Saccharomyces cerevisiae S288C: one gene and its partners. The gene in region 1 interacts genetically with each later gene. Each region holds a gene or a part of one and is shown on either strand. Other genes may lie near its edges.

Evidence for each region.
Region 2: mutations in CCA1 (region 1) and MGM101 together harm fitness more than expected from each alone (negative genetic interaction), as found in Saccharomyces cerevisiae (one large-scale study listed by BioGRID).
Region 3: mutations in CCA1 (region 1) and RFM1 together harm fitness more than expected from each alone (negative genetic interaction), as found in Saccharomyces cerevisiae (one large-scale study listed by BioGRID).
Region 4: mutations in CCA1 (region 1) and ECM34 together harm fitness more than expected from each alone (negative genetic interaction), as found in Saccharomyces cerevisiae (one large-scale study listed by BioGRID).

What each region holds. Positions count from the first base shown.
Region 1 is NC_001137.3:519,836-524,578, forward strand, and holds CCA1 (tRNA adenylyltransferase), read right to left. Parts: upstream 2,835-4,743; coding exon 1,194-2,834; downstream 1-1,193. Other genes in the region: BCK2 (Bck2p), read left to right, coding at 1-936; RPH1 (Rph1p), read left to right, coding at 3,534-4,743. UniProt on the Saccharomyces cerevisiae protein: Nucleotidyltransferase that catalyzes the addition and repair of the essential 3'-terminal CCA sequence in tRNAs, which is necessary for the attachment of amino acids to the 3' terminus of tRNA molecules, using CTP and ATP as substrates. tRNA 3'-terminal CCA addition is required both for tRNA processing and repair.
Region 2 is NC_001142.9:699,344-702,884, reverse strand, and holds MGM101 (Mgm101p), read right to left. Parts: upstream 2,004-3,541; coding exon 1,194-2,003; downstream 1-1,193. Other genes in the region: 40S ribosomal protein eS4 RPS4A, read left to right, coding at 87-858; PMT4 (dolichyl-phosphate-mannose-protein mannosyltransferase), read left to right, coding at 2,271-3,541. UniProt on the Saccharomyces cerevisiae protein: Performs an essential function in the repair of oxidatively damaged mtDNA that is required for the maintenance of the mitochondrial genome. Binds to DNA.
Region 3 is NC_001147.6:843,091-847,061, reverse strand, and holds RFM1 (Rfm1p), read left to right. Parts: upstream 1-2,431; coding exon 2,432-3,364; downstream 3,365-3,971. Other genes in the region: PLP2 (Plp2p), read left to right, coding at 1-793; FSH3 (putative serine hydrolase), read left to right, coding at 1,270-2,070; uroporphyrinogen-III synthase HEM4, read right to left, coding at 3,418-3,971. UniProt on the Saccharomyces cerevisiae protein: Tethering factor required for histone deacetylase HST1-mediated repression. Probably involved in targeting HST1 to a subset of SUM1-regulated genes.
Region 4 is NC_001140.6:12,633-16,217, reverse strand, and holds ECM34 (Ecm34p), read right to left. Parts: upstream 1,318-3,585; coding exon 805-1,317; downstream 1-804. Other genes in the region: YHL042W (uncharacterized protein), read right to left, coding at 99-551; DFP4 (DUP240 family protein), read right to left, coding at 1,946-2,653; PXP3 (Pxp3p), read right to left, coding at 3,369-3,585. UniProt on the Saccharomyces cerevisiae protein: May be involved in cell wall organization and biogenesis.

The DNA of each region.
Region 1 (4,743 bases):
TTTGTTCCAAGTACCAGTACTGTTACAAGTTATCGCCCATCTAGCAATTTTTCCTCATTTGACAAAGAATACAGTAACGAAAACGACGCTAGTGGGGAATTCTCTGCTTTCAATACTCCAATGGAGAATATACCGGCACTAAAAGGTATACCTAGATCCACGTTAGAAGAAAATGAAGAAGAGGATGTCCTAGTACAAGATATTCCGAATACGGCACACTTCCAAAGAAGGGATATTATGGGGATGGATACTCACAGAAAGGATGACAGTTTAGATTTTAACTCTTTGATGCCACACGGTAGTACAACTAGTAGCAGCATCGTAGATTCTGTTATGACGAACTCAATATCCACTACAACAAGCAACGCGACCGGAAACTACTTTCAAGATCAAGATAAGTATACATTGGTAAATACGGGATTGGGATTGAGTGATGCAAACCTCGATCATTTTATTAGATCTCAATGGAAACACGCTTCTCGATCAGAATCCAATAATAATACCGGAAATCGCGTTTCTTACAGTGGCTCAACACCAAACAATGTTGATACAACAAAGACTAATTTGCAAGTGTATACCGAGTTCGATTTTGAAAACCCAGAGTCGTTTTTCCATGAGCAATCGAAGCTACTAGGTGAGATGGGCCACAGCAATAACAACAGCAACAGCGCCATCAACATGAATGAACCCAAGTCTGCGGATACATACATTGGAAATATATCTCCGGATACTTCAGCAACTGTTTCATTAGGCGACCTGATGGGCTCAAACGTTTCAAACAACAGTGAAAGAAATTTTTACGATGGTCATACTTTCGTTCCACAGTATCAGGCGAACTCATCTGTGGAAAACTCAAATAATCAAAATGCAGCACCAATTGCAAATAACGACATTGATAATAATTTACAGTCTTTTTATTTTGATAATAGCAACTAAAAAAGGAATGAAAAAAAAAAAAAAAAGTTCAAAAATAGTAACAGATATCTTTCGAAAAAGTTAAAAACTGGTAAAAAATTTTGAATAGAGTATATAAAAACTAATAAATATGTTTAGTTATCATACACCATAGAATAACTACTAGAGATATTATTTCATTTTCGTTTTCATTTTTTTTATTTTTTTCTTTTCAATAAGGTAACAGAAAGTTATTTATGCATTCTTGTTCTACATGTCTTATGTATACTAATAAGCTACTACAGGTATTTTGGTAGTATGGCTTTTAAATGAGTTATTAATTCTTGATCAGTCCCTGTAGGATTATCAAACTGCCACCTAATCGCTTCGTTATTAATTTTACCCAGCCATGGACCTGGCTTCATTTGAAGTAGTTTTGCCATTTGTTTTCCGTCCACTATTGGTTTTAGTTCATGACAATTATTCAAATTATTGTCAAATATGTAAGAATAAAATTCATTGTAATTTTGGAAAAGTAATTCAATTTTTTTAGTTTCAAGCTTGGGAATCTTTAAAAATGCATCTGATAGAGATGCAAAATGTGCTGTTTCCCATTCGCCATTAAAGTTCCGTAGAAATATACCGATTTCGGATTTTTTTAGCTGGGAACGATCTGCAAACTTAGCAAGTATTTCCTCATATGAACATATTGAATCTACGGTCTTGGCAATAACTGCTGCATCATTTTTACTCAGCTTCAATCCTTCCTTCACAATGCTTTCTGTCACCGAAACCAGGTTGTTAATTTTCTTCTTTGGGTTCCCGATTATTTGTAAATTAGCCATGGGGGACAGGATCGCACTCAATATAAAATTTTGCTGAAATCCTGGCGAACGACCAATTTTTTCCCTTAAGATAGGAAGCTTCTCTAAAAACATTGGATATAATTCAATAAAACTTTTCAAGTGTGAGTTTAGTATGTTATCATTGTATACATGATTAATTTTGTCCATATCTTGACAATTCTCTTCGTTGAATTTTACGACGGAGCTATCATTATGCCAAAAAAAGATAACATTTTCAAGATGAGCCCTTTGAATCAGCTGCAAAGCCAATAAAGGGGTTGGTCCTACTAATATTTTCTCCATCTCCACACCAACTCGCTCTCTAGAAATTTTTGAATTGAATGCAACATTAATCTGAGGATCGCCCATTTCAGCCATCACTTCCGGATCTATGGTAAAGTTGAATCTAGAAGCAAAACGGATCAACCTCAAAACCCTCAAGGGATCATCCAAAAATGTTTGTTTTGCAGGAAGCGGAGTACGGAGAACGCCATCTTTTAGATCTTGCAGACCTCTCTTGGTGAAATCTTCCACTTCACCTTTATGAATGTTATAGAAAAGAGCGTTCAATGTAGCATCCCTTCTTAAAGCGTCTTCCTCGGGTGTGCCAAAGCACACTTTAGGTATCCTGGAAAGTTCAGTATACTTTTCAGATCTTAAATTGACAAAATCCACTTCAACGCCAAAGAGCTTAGTAGTGGCAGTTTCCAGATGCTTGGATTTCTCGGGATTCTTGTCAATCTTGTGGATATTATGAGGCTTGGCTCCATATTTGGCGTAATGTTGTTGCAAATACTCGTTCAAACCAGTAGCAAATTGCTCACCTGACATCACATTGATGGCAATATCCAAGTCGTGAGAACCTTGTCCCAGAAGCTTGTCACGCACCCATCCGCCCGTGATCCGAAGAGTCAATGGCTCAGGCTTATTGTGGTACTTTTGATTGTACAAGTCTGTATAATCGTTCAGCAAGTTACAGATGTTCTGTTCCACTTTGGTTAAGGTGATTTTGGGTGCATTTAGAACAAAATTAGAATTCGTCATCGTTTTCTGAGCAGCACTATTCATCAGTAGAGATATAGTAGACCGTAGCATACACAAAAAAAGCCCTTATAACCCACGGATACGAATTAATCTCGAGGGAAGCGTTGCGATGTATTATGTAGTTTCCTTTAGTACATTGTTAATATGGTAGATTTTTGCGATTCATTTTTCAACTTTTCAACCCTAACGAATGTTTTTTAGGGCTGAGTAACGACAAGAACACAACCCTAAAAATCAGATGACCTAAGGGTTTGGTGAATCGAGAAAGTATGCCCTATTTCCCCCGCCCATACACCCCATAAGCCTTAACCGCAGCCCTCCTCTCCCCTAAACGTTTCTTTTTCTTTTTCCATTTTTTTTTTTTTTTTAGTTTTACTTTCTTTTTATTCGGAAAAATCTTTTCTATATTTTTCAAGGGTAACCTCATCGCCATGCAATTAATCACATAGACTCCTTAAGTAACAATGGCAAGGCGATAATTTTAAGAGAATTGCAGACGCTGTACATAGATCGTTATCAGCAAAACATATATTCGCATCGAAGGCGTTGCTTGTCCCTGAAGTAGCTACTTGCGGTTTTCATCAAGCGGCCAATTTAATCATTCTATCAGCATTATTTTAAAATAGGGGGACTTAACCTTTCTATTAGTACCACTTATTTTATAGATCTGCTGGAGAAAAATAAACAGATAAAAAAAAGGGAAAAAAAGAATAAGACTGTCTTGGTGAGGATATTCAGTTGCGTGAAATCATGACGAAACTAATCGCTCCTTCAGAAATCGTGGGCGGAGTGCCCGTCTTCAAACCCACATACGAGCAATTCGAAGATTTCTATGCATACTGCAAGGCCATAAACAAATATGGCATGAAAAGTGGTGTTGTGAAAGTAATCCCACCTAAAGAATGGAAAGACAAATTAGATCTGCCTTATTCTGCGGAAACGCTCCAAAAGATCAAGATTAAATCACCTATTCAGCAGCATATTTCTGGTAATAAAGGTCTTTTTATGGTGCAGAACGTGGAGAAAAACAAGACCTATAACATTATACAGTGGAAAGATCTTTCTAAGGACTATGTGCCTCCGGAGGATCCTAAAGCAAGACGTAATTCTAGGAAAGGCTCCGTTTCCAAATCCACGAAGTTGAAACTGAAAAATTTTGAATCGTCTTTTAATATTGATGATTTTGAACAGTTCAGGACGGAGTATACAATAGATTTATCTGACTTCCAAAATACGGAGAGATTAAAGTTCTTGGAAGAGTATTATTGGAAAACGCTAAATTTTACTACGCCTATGTACGGCGCAGATACACCAGGATCAATCTTTCCTGAAGGGCTGAACGTTTGGAATGTTGCCAAACTACCGAACATCTTGGACCATATGGAAACAAAGGTTCCTGGGGTGAATGACTCCTATCTATACGCTGGTCTATGGAAGGCTTCTTTTTCTTGGCACTTGGAAGATCAGGACCTGTATTCCATAAATTATATTCATTTCGGTGCCCCAAAACAGTGGTATTCGATACCGCAAGAGGATAGGTTCAAATTCTACAAATTCATGCAGGAGCAATTTCCCGAAGAAGCCAAAAATTGTCCTGAATTTTTAAGACATAAAATGTTTTTGGCTTCGCCCAAACTGCTGCAGGAAAATGGCATACGATGCAATGAAATTGTCCACCATGAAGGCGAATTCATGATCACTTATCCCTATGGTTACCATGCAGGGTTCAATTATGGATATAACTTGGCAGAATCCGTCAACTTTGCTTTGGAGGAGTGGCTACCGATTGGGAAGAAAGCTGGAAAATGCCACTGCATTTCAGACTCAGTGGAAATAGATGTTAAGAAACTCGCTAAATCTTGGAGGGACAATAATAAAGAGTCGAAAGGAACGCCACCCCTCAATCAATTACCCAATCCTGCCATGCCCTTACTTCACAGGCCAACTTTAAAAGAAATGG
Region 2 (3,541 bases), on another chromosome or scaffold:
CTAACGAGCACAATGAAAAAAATAAAATGTCTGTATCTTCATTATACATTCATTTTTGCCCTTTTTTCTCATTTTTTTCCGTACAGAAAGAAGCATCTAAAAAGATTAGCAGCTCCACACCACTGGTTATTGGACAAGTTGTCCGGTTGTTACGCCCCAAGACCATCTGCTGGTCCACACAAATTGCGTGAATCCTTGCCATTGATTGTCTTTCTAAGAAACAGATTAAAGTATGCTTTGAACGGCCGTGAAGTCAAGGCTATCTTGATGCAACGTCACGTTAAAGTGGACGGTAAGGTTAGAACCGACACTACCTACCCAGCTGGTTTCATGGATGTCATCACTCTAGATGCCACCAATGAAAACTTCAGATTGGTCTACGATGTCAAGGGTAGATTCGCTGTCCACCGTATCACCGATGAAGAAGCTTCTTACAAGTTGGGTAAGGTCAAGAAGGTTCAATTAGGTAAGAAGGGTGTTCCATACGTTGTTACCCACGATGGTAGAACTATCAGATACCCAGACCCAAACATCAAGGTCAATGACACTGTTAAGATCGACTTGGCCTCTGGTAAGATTACTGATTTCATCAAGTTCGATGCCGGTAAGTTGGTTTACGTTACTGGTGGTCGTAACTTGGGTCGTATCGGTACTATCGTTCACAAGGAAAGACACGATGGTGGTTTCGATTTAGTTCACATCAAGGACTCCTTGGACAACACTTTCGTCACTAGATTGAACAATGTCTTCGTCATCGGTGAACAAGGTAAGCCTTACATTTCTTTGCCAAAGGGTAAGGGTATCAAGTTGTCTATTGCTGAAGAACGTGACAGAAGAAGAGCTCAACAAGGTTTATAAATTTCATAACAACTTAATTATTTTCTTCTTTTGTATATCTCCATTAATGTTTATTAGAAATTGAATTTTAAAATAATACATCGTATCTTCCTTTTTCGACTGGCAGTAATATAACGTATAATATATATATTAGGTGTGTGTATATATATCCGTATTGTAATATTGATAGTAAAAATACGCTAACCCTGAAATAGAAGGCGTATGATAAGACGTACTGACACTACGCACTACCACAATATATGCGTATGTGTGTGTGTGTGTGTGTGTGTGTGTGTGTGTGATTGTATTGGAATATATATACTTACTAAAATTAGCTTATATGGTTCGCATATTGACTATTTATAAGGATATTCAACTTGTCTGTCCTTTCTTAACCAAATTTTCTTCTTTCTCTTGGTGGTAACATGTTCCACAAACTTCTCAGTACAATGATCCACTTTGAATTTCTTTATGAAAACAGGGTCCCATAATTCAGAACCGACGCCGAGATCTTTGCAACACCTCATTAATGCATTACTTTTGCAACCTTCTGTAGCAGTTGGTATGCCGGCTTCGTTGAAATAGTCTTGTTCGCCTCTTGCCACACTGATCAATTGACCATGGCAAATAAGACCGTACTCCCTAGTGACCAGCTTGGATGTCACTATTGTTTGTGATCTTGGCACTAGCCCCCAACCGCCTGCGCCAAAAGCTTTGTTCAGTATTCTACGGTATTTAATTTCAGGCAAGTATATCAAACCATCTGGCTTGATTTCTATATCCTTAGGGTCCAGAGGCTCGATTAGATCCTTTTGCACTTTTGCTTCAAAGGGCTTCATACCTAGGCCATACCATGAAGTATACCAGTCAATGTCTCCCTTGACTTGCTTATAACTATTGTTCAAAGAATCATCGGCGGTGCTGCGGGTTTCCAAAGGGGTCCCGCCGAGTTTAGAGTTAATGCCGCTTGAATATTCCTTCATGTGGCTTCCATTGCCAGCTTCCGATTTTGTTGCAAATACAGGCTTGGTTTCGGTACTGTTGAAACTTTTCCTCACTGCACCGGCTGTTGCGGTGTTACTAGTGCCGGTACTCACCACGGTTCTTTTTTGGCAAAATTGAGCAGCATGCGATACACATCCTCTAACCTTGAAAATGCTTTTCATCGTACGCTGATCTTCCTACTTGTCCTTTCTTTCCTTTTTTAGTCTCTACCGTCTTTTTAAATAGTTTCTTCCATTATTCTGTCGATAAATTTCGTGATGTTATTCGTGTATTTCTTGACAAAAAAAATAAAAAATGAAAAATATGCATAATGAAACGCGCTTTATCAAAACTACTCACTCGAATCCTTACTTCTATATTAACTGTACTAAGAAGTTTGTCGATACATATTTTACCAAGATATTTTCTGACAGTCCACAGAAGTACAGATGTCTGTGCCCAAAAAACGTAACCATGGGAAGTTACCACCTTCCACTAAGGACGTAGACGATCCTTCGTTGAAGTACACGAAGGCCGCGCCTAAATGTGAACAAGTTGCTGAACATTGGCTCTTGCAGCCACTACCGGAACCGGAATCACGTTATAGCTTTTGGGTAACAATTGTTACCTTATTAGCGTTTGCTGCTAGATTTTATAAGATCTGGTATCCAAAAGAAGTTGTTTTTGATGAGGTACATTTCGGGAAATTTGCATCGTATTACTTAGAAAGGTCTTATTTCTTTGACGTTCATCCCCCTTTTGCTAAGATGATGATTGCCTTCATTGGTTGGTTATGTGGCTATGATGGTTCCTTTAAGTTTGATGAGATTGGGTATTCTTATGAAACTCATCCAGCTCCATATATCGCGTACCGTTCTTTCAACGCGATATTGGGCACATTGACTGTACCAATTATGTTCAACACTTTGAAGGAACTGAATTTCAGGGCTATTACATGTGCGTTTGCATCTCTCTTGGTTGCAATCGATACTGCGCATGTTACAGAAACTAGGCTGATTTTACTGGATGCCATCTTGATTATTTCTATTGCTGCTACTATGTATTGTTACGTTCGTTTCTACAAGTGCCAATTGCGTCAACCTTTTACATGGAGTTGGTATATTTGGTTACACGCTACTGGTTTGTCTTTATCCTTCGTGATTTCCACAAAATATGTTGGTGTTATGACATATTCCGCTATTGGTTTTGCTGCTGTGGTCAACTTATGGCAATTACTGGACATCAAGGCGGGTTTGTCCTTGAGGCAGTTCATGAGACATTTTAGTAAAAGGCTGAATGGTTTAGTTTTGATTCCATTTGTGATTTACTTGTTTTGGTTCTGGGTTCATTTCACCGTTTTGAATACTTCAGGTCCTGGCGACGCATTTATGTCTGCTGAATTTCAAGAAACACTTAAGGACTCTCCCTTAAGTGTTGACTCTAAAACCGTCAATTATTTTGATATTATCACTATCAAACATCAAGATACTGACGCATTCTTACATTCTCACTTGGCACGTTACCCACAACGGTATGAAGATGGTCGTATCTCATCCGCTGGTCAACAAGTTACTGGTTACACGCATCCTGACTTCAACAATCAATGGGAAGTGTTACCACCCCATGGCAGTGATGTCGGTAAAGGACAAGCTGTTCTATTGAACCAGCATATAAGATTGAGACATGTAGCCACCGATACCTACTTGTTAGCCCATGATGT
Region 3 (3,971 bases), on another chromosome or scaffold:
AAGAGCGAAGGGTGTAATACCAGAACGTGCACCTTCGCCCACTGCAAAGTTAGAAGAAGCATTAGAAGAAGCAATTGCCAAGCAGCATGAAAATAGACTAGAAGATAAAGACTTGTCGGATTTGGAAGAACTAGAAGACGATGAAGATGAAGATTTCTTGGAAGCTTACAAGATCAAAAGATTAAATGAAATCCGCAAATTACAGGAACGTTCCAAATTTGGAGAAGTTTTCCACATTAACAAACCTGAATACAACAAAGAGGTTACTTTGGCCAGTCAGGGAAAGAAATATGAAGGTGCACAAACCAATGACAATGGTGAAGAGGATGACGGTGGTGTCTACGTATTCGTTCATCTCTCGCTTCAAAGTAAACTACAAAGCAGAATTCTGTCTCATCTTTTCCAATCTGCTGCATGCAAATTCAGAGAAATAAAATTTGTAGAAATACCTGCCAATAGAGCAATTGAAAACTATCCCGAATCCAATTGCCCGACATTAATTGTATATTACCGGGGTGAGGTAATCAAAAACATGATAACGCTACTAGAACTGGGTGGTAATAATTCCAAGATGGAAGACTTTGAAGATTTTATGGTAAAAGTTGGCGCTGTTGCAGAAGGAGACAACAGACTGATAATGAACCGAGACGATGAAGAATCCAGGGAAGAGAGAAAATTGCATTACGGTGAAAAAAAATCGATCAGGTCAGGTATTAGAGGAAAATTTAATGTCGGCATAGGTGGAAATGATGATGGCAACATTAATGATGATGATGATGGATTTTTTGACTAAATAGTGCGAATATTCCTTATTTACAGGCTAAGTGGTGTCACTATCCCCATTATTTAATATATACAGATATAAAGAACAGCAAACTTTGTCATGTACTTCTCTGAATGTTTACGCGAGGATTACGGTATGTATGATTGAACATCGCTGCAGCATGGATTTTAGTAAGAGCCGTTGTCATGGCAACCAATTAAAGCTCTTTAATTACCGTCAAGCATACTTAGGATACAGATACAATAAAACCCCTTATTAAGTTCGAGCAGGCACATCTTGACAGAATAAACCTTTTAAATCGTCATATGGAGCATGGTCTGGTATCAAGTTTTACTACTTTTTCGCTTTGTTGTCAGAGGATAGAAATTTACTTTTTCTAGTTGTGCGTATAAAGAACACTATGGATGCAGTAATACAGAAAGTAATCTGTTCTACTTCGGTGCATTTTCAAACTGAATTCTACCACAAACCCCAGAATTATTATTATGAGTGAAAAGAAGAAAGTTCTAATGCTACATGGTTTTGTCCAATCCGATAAGATATTTTCTGCGAAGACTGGAGGATTACGAAAGAATTTGAAGAAGTTAGGTTACGATTTATACTATCCTTGCGCCCCACATTCAATTGATAAAAAAGCGTTATTCCAATCAGAGTCAGAAAAGGGTAGAGATGCTGCGAAGGAATTCAACACCTCAGCGACTAGTGATGAAGTATACGGGTGGTTCTTTAGAAATCCCGAATCTTTCAATTCCTTTCAAATAGATCAAAAGGTGTTTAACTATTTACGTAACTACGTGCTAGAAAATGGACCATTTGATGGTGTCATTGGATTCAGCCAAGGTGCAGGTCTTGGGGGCTACTTAGTCACTGACTTTAACAGAATATTAAATCTTACTGATGAACAACAGCCCGCTTTAAAATTTTTTATTTCATTTAGTGGATTCAAATTAGAAGATCAATCCTACCAGAAAGAATATCATAGGATTATCCAGGTGCCCTCTCTACATGTAAGGGGGGAGTTAGATGAAGTTGTAGCAGAATCTAGAATCATGGCATTGTACGAGTCATGGCCCGATAACAAAAGGACATTGTTGGTTCATCCTGGAGCCCATTTTGTCCCAAACTCGAAACCATTCGTATCCCAAGTTTGCAATTGGATCCAAGGAATTACTAGCAAAGAGGGTCAAGAGCATAATGCCCAACCTGAAGTAGATCGGAAACAATTTGACAAACCTCAATTGGAAGATGATTTGTTAGATATGATCGATTCCTTGGGTAAATTGTAATTCGATAATTGATATTTATATGAGCTACATACAATTTTTATAAAACTATTGAAAATATCGACGAGAAAAAGGAATAGTGTGACTTTTCTGCCGCCTTCTTTGACGTTTGATTTTCTATACCTGATTTATATCTGTTGCTAAAGAAAGAATTTTCGCGGCACACGAATGATATATATTTAACGTAAGGATTTCTTTTATCTGGCGGAAGTATCTCAATATATTAATATTAAACGCTGTTGAACACTATCCTAGGAACACTGACAGCTAGAAGTGATCATAAGACATTGCATATAAAATAACTATTAATTTTAATTAAAAGAATTTAATTAGAACAACAGGAAGGTGTTATAAGAAAGTGCGAATGAGTACAAATACGGAAATCATAAAAAATAGTGATTTGCAAAGTTTAATCAATGATAAGAGGAGGTTAATAAATGAAATAAAAGACTTTAATAAATCCATTAAACCCTTGGAGTTTGAATCGTATCAGGATTATTTCCTGATAAAAACGTTCAAAAAAGGAATATCTGCAAGTGGCCATGTGGATATTGACAGTTTAAGAAATAAAGAATATGGAATATACTACAAGAAAATCAAGAGGAACTCTACACAAGAAGTCGGCGAACCAATCCCTCGCAACACATCCTCCTCCTCCTCTTCTACTAGATCAAACTCATCAGCTGATATCAGCGATACAGAATATTCAGGTGAGAACACTCCTACAACTACTGGTGCTGCCAGTCGAAGAAGACGTACGAGATCTCGAGCTATTCAAAGAGAAAATAGTCTACCAGCATCTTTACCCTCAATTAGTGAAGCGAATGCAAACAATGATGATGTTACTATTTCTGAAATAAATGGAAGTGAATTGCCATTTCCAATTCCAATATCAGAAGTGGAAAATATTGACATTGCTTCAGATATAACTGAAAGGGATGGTATTAGAAGGAGATCATCAAGGATATCAGAAAGAGACAAAAGACGTTCACAGTCTAGACTGGGGTCAGAAGAAGATGAAGAAGGCGACGGACATGACGGAGATGAAGGGGAGACCAAAATCCAAGACCTATATGAGAGTTTGGTACCCAAAATTTTGGAGTCACGTAGAAGGTCTGATTGGATCCTCCCTCCTAAGGCAAGATATACACCAGAAAAGCAAATGAGGACCAAACCGTCATTCAAGAGCATAAAGATTAATGAACTTGTCGGGAATAAAAGAATACGAAGTATATTATCTAGATTTGAAGGTGGTGTAGCGGGTATACGCAAAAGAGATTGGGACTCTACCCAATAGCTTCTTTGAAGAAGTAAATAAATATAAATAGAGAGAAATATGACGTATCAATATTATTTATGGCGCTGGTATAATTCAATAGCATCTAATAGCGACTTGGGGTCCGGTTTTGGACTGACCACATCAGAGGTTACATCATTATCATCCAGATATTTTTTAGTGGTAGGTCCGATGGACGCAACCCGTAGATGGGAACCTGGTAGGCGGTTACTGTCACCCAAATACTGAGTAATTTCTTTCGTTCCCTGGGGACTGAAAACTACCACCCAGTCCGAGAATACTTCATCCTCATCGCATTCTTTCATGGCGTGTATGAATCTTTTAAAACCGTCGCTTAATTCTTCAGTTTTATAAGTAACCACTTCTCTTACTTTTATTCCCTTGCTATGGAGTTTCTTTGGGATGATATCTCTTCTAATTTCACCCACGAGAAATAATAGTTCACTTGGTGGGCATGCCTTAATATCCGTACTCAAGTCATCAATAATTATATCAGCAAGGATTGAACCATTACCAGCGTCTTCTCCACCTTTAACATTAATGAAACCTGATCTTCTGATGAAGTTAGCAGTAGCAGGGCCTACAGTATAAACTGTTTTACTGAGCA
Region 4 (3,585 bases), on another chromosome or scaffold:
CTATTACGCACTGCTGTTTATTATTATTTAGGTTAGCGCTATTAAAAACATGTCTGGCTGGCAGAATTATTTTTCAAACCAAAGGCAAACTTCAGTAGTTAAATCAATTGCTTACCAGCACAGGCAATGTCGGCTTTTCTGATATACGGCAACAATTCAGCAATTGGTAGGTCAGGATGGGAAGACTTTCTTGAGGGTAGATAACGGAGGAAATTACGTTCGAAAAAGCGCTCACAATCTGCTCCATCTAAGAAAAACACGTCTGAGCCGGAAACTTTCTGCTCAAATAAGTATACATTCATCTTCTTTGCGATTTGGTCCCAACAATTCACATCCGATTTCTGATGTTCACTGATTATAGTTGACAAAAATTGCATTCTATGTTCCACTTTCATTGAACAAGATCTATTCATTTCAAAGGAGAACCATTCCTGGGAGCAAACAAGTACGACAAAAAGGGCAAGAGTAAAAAAAAAGCCGAGATTTCTTGGAGAACGGATACTCATGACGAAGAATATAACAGTTGCTACTTGAGAAAAACGCTGTTTCATGACTTTCTTGAAAATATGAAATAATTTGAAACGACATGATTGACCAGGAAGTTTGATATTTCCAACCGAAATATTGCTTAACAATTGCTGAGAAGTATTTAAATTCCACTTTCTATCCACTTCTGCAAAATATACTTTAAGGGCTTCTTCAATATAAGGGTGTTTCCTAAAATATTCTATTTTATAGTCGCCGTCAATTCTTGAGGAAATCCATAGAAGGGTTCTCCTAAATGCTACATGGCAGCTAGAACCATCAACAAAAAAAGTATTCTGTGTTCCAAAGTTTATTTTCGTACATATAAGAGTTAAAATCCGCTGCAACACGGTCCCAGCTTTCCATATCTGTGCTTGGCGCACTTTTAATAATTTCTTTGGCAAACTGAGTGATTTGTTTCCCGAAGGTGCGTTCACGATACATTTTGAAAGCTTCCCATGAGAAAGACACTGCTAAAGATATAACTAAGATAACGATGGTCGAATGACGCCTCAAAAAACCTGGATTCCGTTTATGTTTGGTTTGGGGGCCGTCCATGTTTGAGTCAGATGGTCTTCTACCACCGATGCCTGAAAAAACCTTCCAACCAACAATGAGCGTTAAACATAACAATAACCAAATATGGAATGCTGACCTATTGATAACTTCATAGCAATACCAAGTAAAGGAACTTCTGAATACATTCTTTGGTAGTTTGGCATTGGAGGATTCAAAGACATCACAGGCTAAAGCGGCTTCGTTCTTTTCATCTTCACTTTTGCGGCCCTCCATATTTGTGATGATATCGTCCCGGTGACATTTTTTTGCAGTTACAACTTCCTTGTAGTTCTTTTATACAGCTCGTAAATTCATCTGTATCTGTAAGCTATAAAATGCCGCACAAAGTGTGCGTACATTATGCAACAACATTATTGTTGAAATACGAGAATAAGCAGAAACTGGCTCAAAAATGGACAATGCATGCTCGATGTTCGAGGTTCGACACAAAAGATGTGAAGAGAGGGCATCGAAACGTTTATATAGTCCTTACGTAGATAATTTGCAAATAATCGCTGCGCTGAACTTGGAGGACAGCTTGAACCTCCGACACAAGCCACAACTTAGAAGCTGCCATCTAGTTTTATAAAGCATTAAACTTATACAGTAAAAGTAATATTGTAACATTACATTATAATAGTGTTCCTGTTGCCATTTATAAATTTACGGAGGCAAACATCCCACAAAAATACGAGTACTTTTATTATACGAGTTTAAAGTTAAGCCACATATCCTGATACAGAAAGGAAGCTCACTTATAATCTATTCAAGAATATTCAATGACTTTTCCAAATACCAATATCATTTCTTTGTACTGGATGCGTTATAAAAAACTAAAGTAGAACCTAGAAATACCTTCCAATCAAACTGTGACCCCCATCTCTGGATACTTATCCTCCCAGTACTTGTCAACAGAGTTCCTGAAAACGGCCAATGCTTTAAAAATATAAGTGCCCAATTCGATGTGTAATGAACTATTACCAGAATCGTTAATGTTGGTTGCTCCATTACTTCTCATCTCCAGATCAGCATATATACTATTCATATTGGAATTCACAAGGTACGGGGTAGCCACCAACTTTTTAAAAACCTGATAGCAATAACTGCCATCGTAGAAAAAAGATCTATCTGCACATATACGACGGTCATATACAAATTGGTTCATGTCATATGCAATCCGGTCCCATGTGCTCAAGTCCATGTTAGGTTTATGTGTAATGACTTCCGCTAATAGTTTGAACTTACAATCATCATCTAAACATCTTAACTTATATCTTGAGCAGCTTAAGTAAGGTAAGAGGAGTAAAAGGAATAGTGAAATTGTAATTAGTAAAGCCGCTAAGATAATAATCAAAGTATTACCGTGTGCAGATAATGCCAGGCGGTTTAAGATTATGGTAATAATAATATGGATGAAAATATATGAAATGAATACGATATTCTGTTTTAAGAAATAAGCGCATTTGCTGGGGGTTATGTCCCTTGGAAGGATCACTGTCTCACCTTCGCATAATTTTCTTAATCCTTCTGGTCTTGGTTTAGAATTAGATATTAATAATTCTGAACTCATAGCCTTAGCGGGCCCTCACTTGCTTTTGAATTTGTCTTTATACCACAAGTTAACAATTACATTTTCTATATCCTTTTTATATTGTTATAATTCGGGACTTAAAAGCGGGAATATCTAGAACTGGGAGGATTGCATCATTTTTCTTGGCCCGTATGTTTTTCTTCGAGTTTTGGCCGCAAGACGAGTAAGAAGAGGACAGAAATAAGTATGTTGCATAACTTTTGTAGAATTTACCAGAAAAACTCCAATATAACTTACTTCATTATGACATATAAGCTAGATCTTGATTTCTTTCGTCAACATACTAAAGCACGCTATCGGAGACTTCTTCAAACCCTTTCTTATGAGAACACTTAGCTGACTGTACATTTAAGAAGCTTTAGAGATGAGCCGTCACCATGAATATAGCGATGGTTTTGTCTACAAGGAATACCAACTATTAATACCATTTCCTACAGAAAGTTTTTAATTGAATAAAATACATTAGCGCCATATATTGCCTTTTTCACTTTTCTTTATATCTAGCTAGAAGAAAAATACTGTGCCTCGAAGAATAAATTTTTCCCACCGCACAGAGTTGTAGTACTGCTACAAACTGAACTCAACATTTTTTTTTTACCATACGCGGCTCTTCCAATACTAGCTGCTTCTCAGCGGCCTACAATTACGTAATTGCGTCAATGAATTTCCTGAGAACGCTTAAAAACTACAAACTCTACAAATAAGCGACTCCCAATACACGTTTTCTATTTTTAATTAAACTATCAGGAGAGGGATAATATAGTATTACCTCTTCCATTGGAGGCTGTTTACAGCAAATTGAATATGGGCTTAAACATAAGAATCTGTACGAGGGTCCAAATCTAAAATTCGGATATTCTTTTTGACCGAAAACGGAAACTTCAAAGGCACGGAAAAGGGTTTTATAAGGC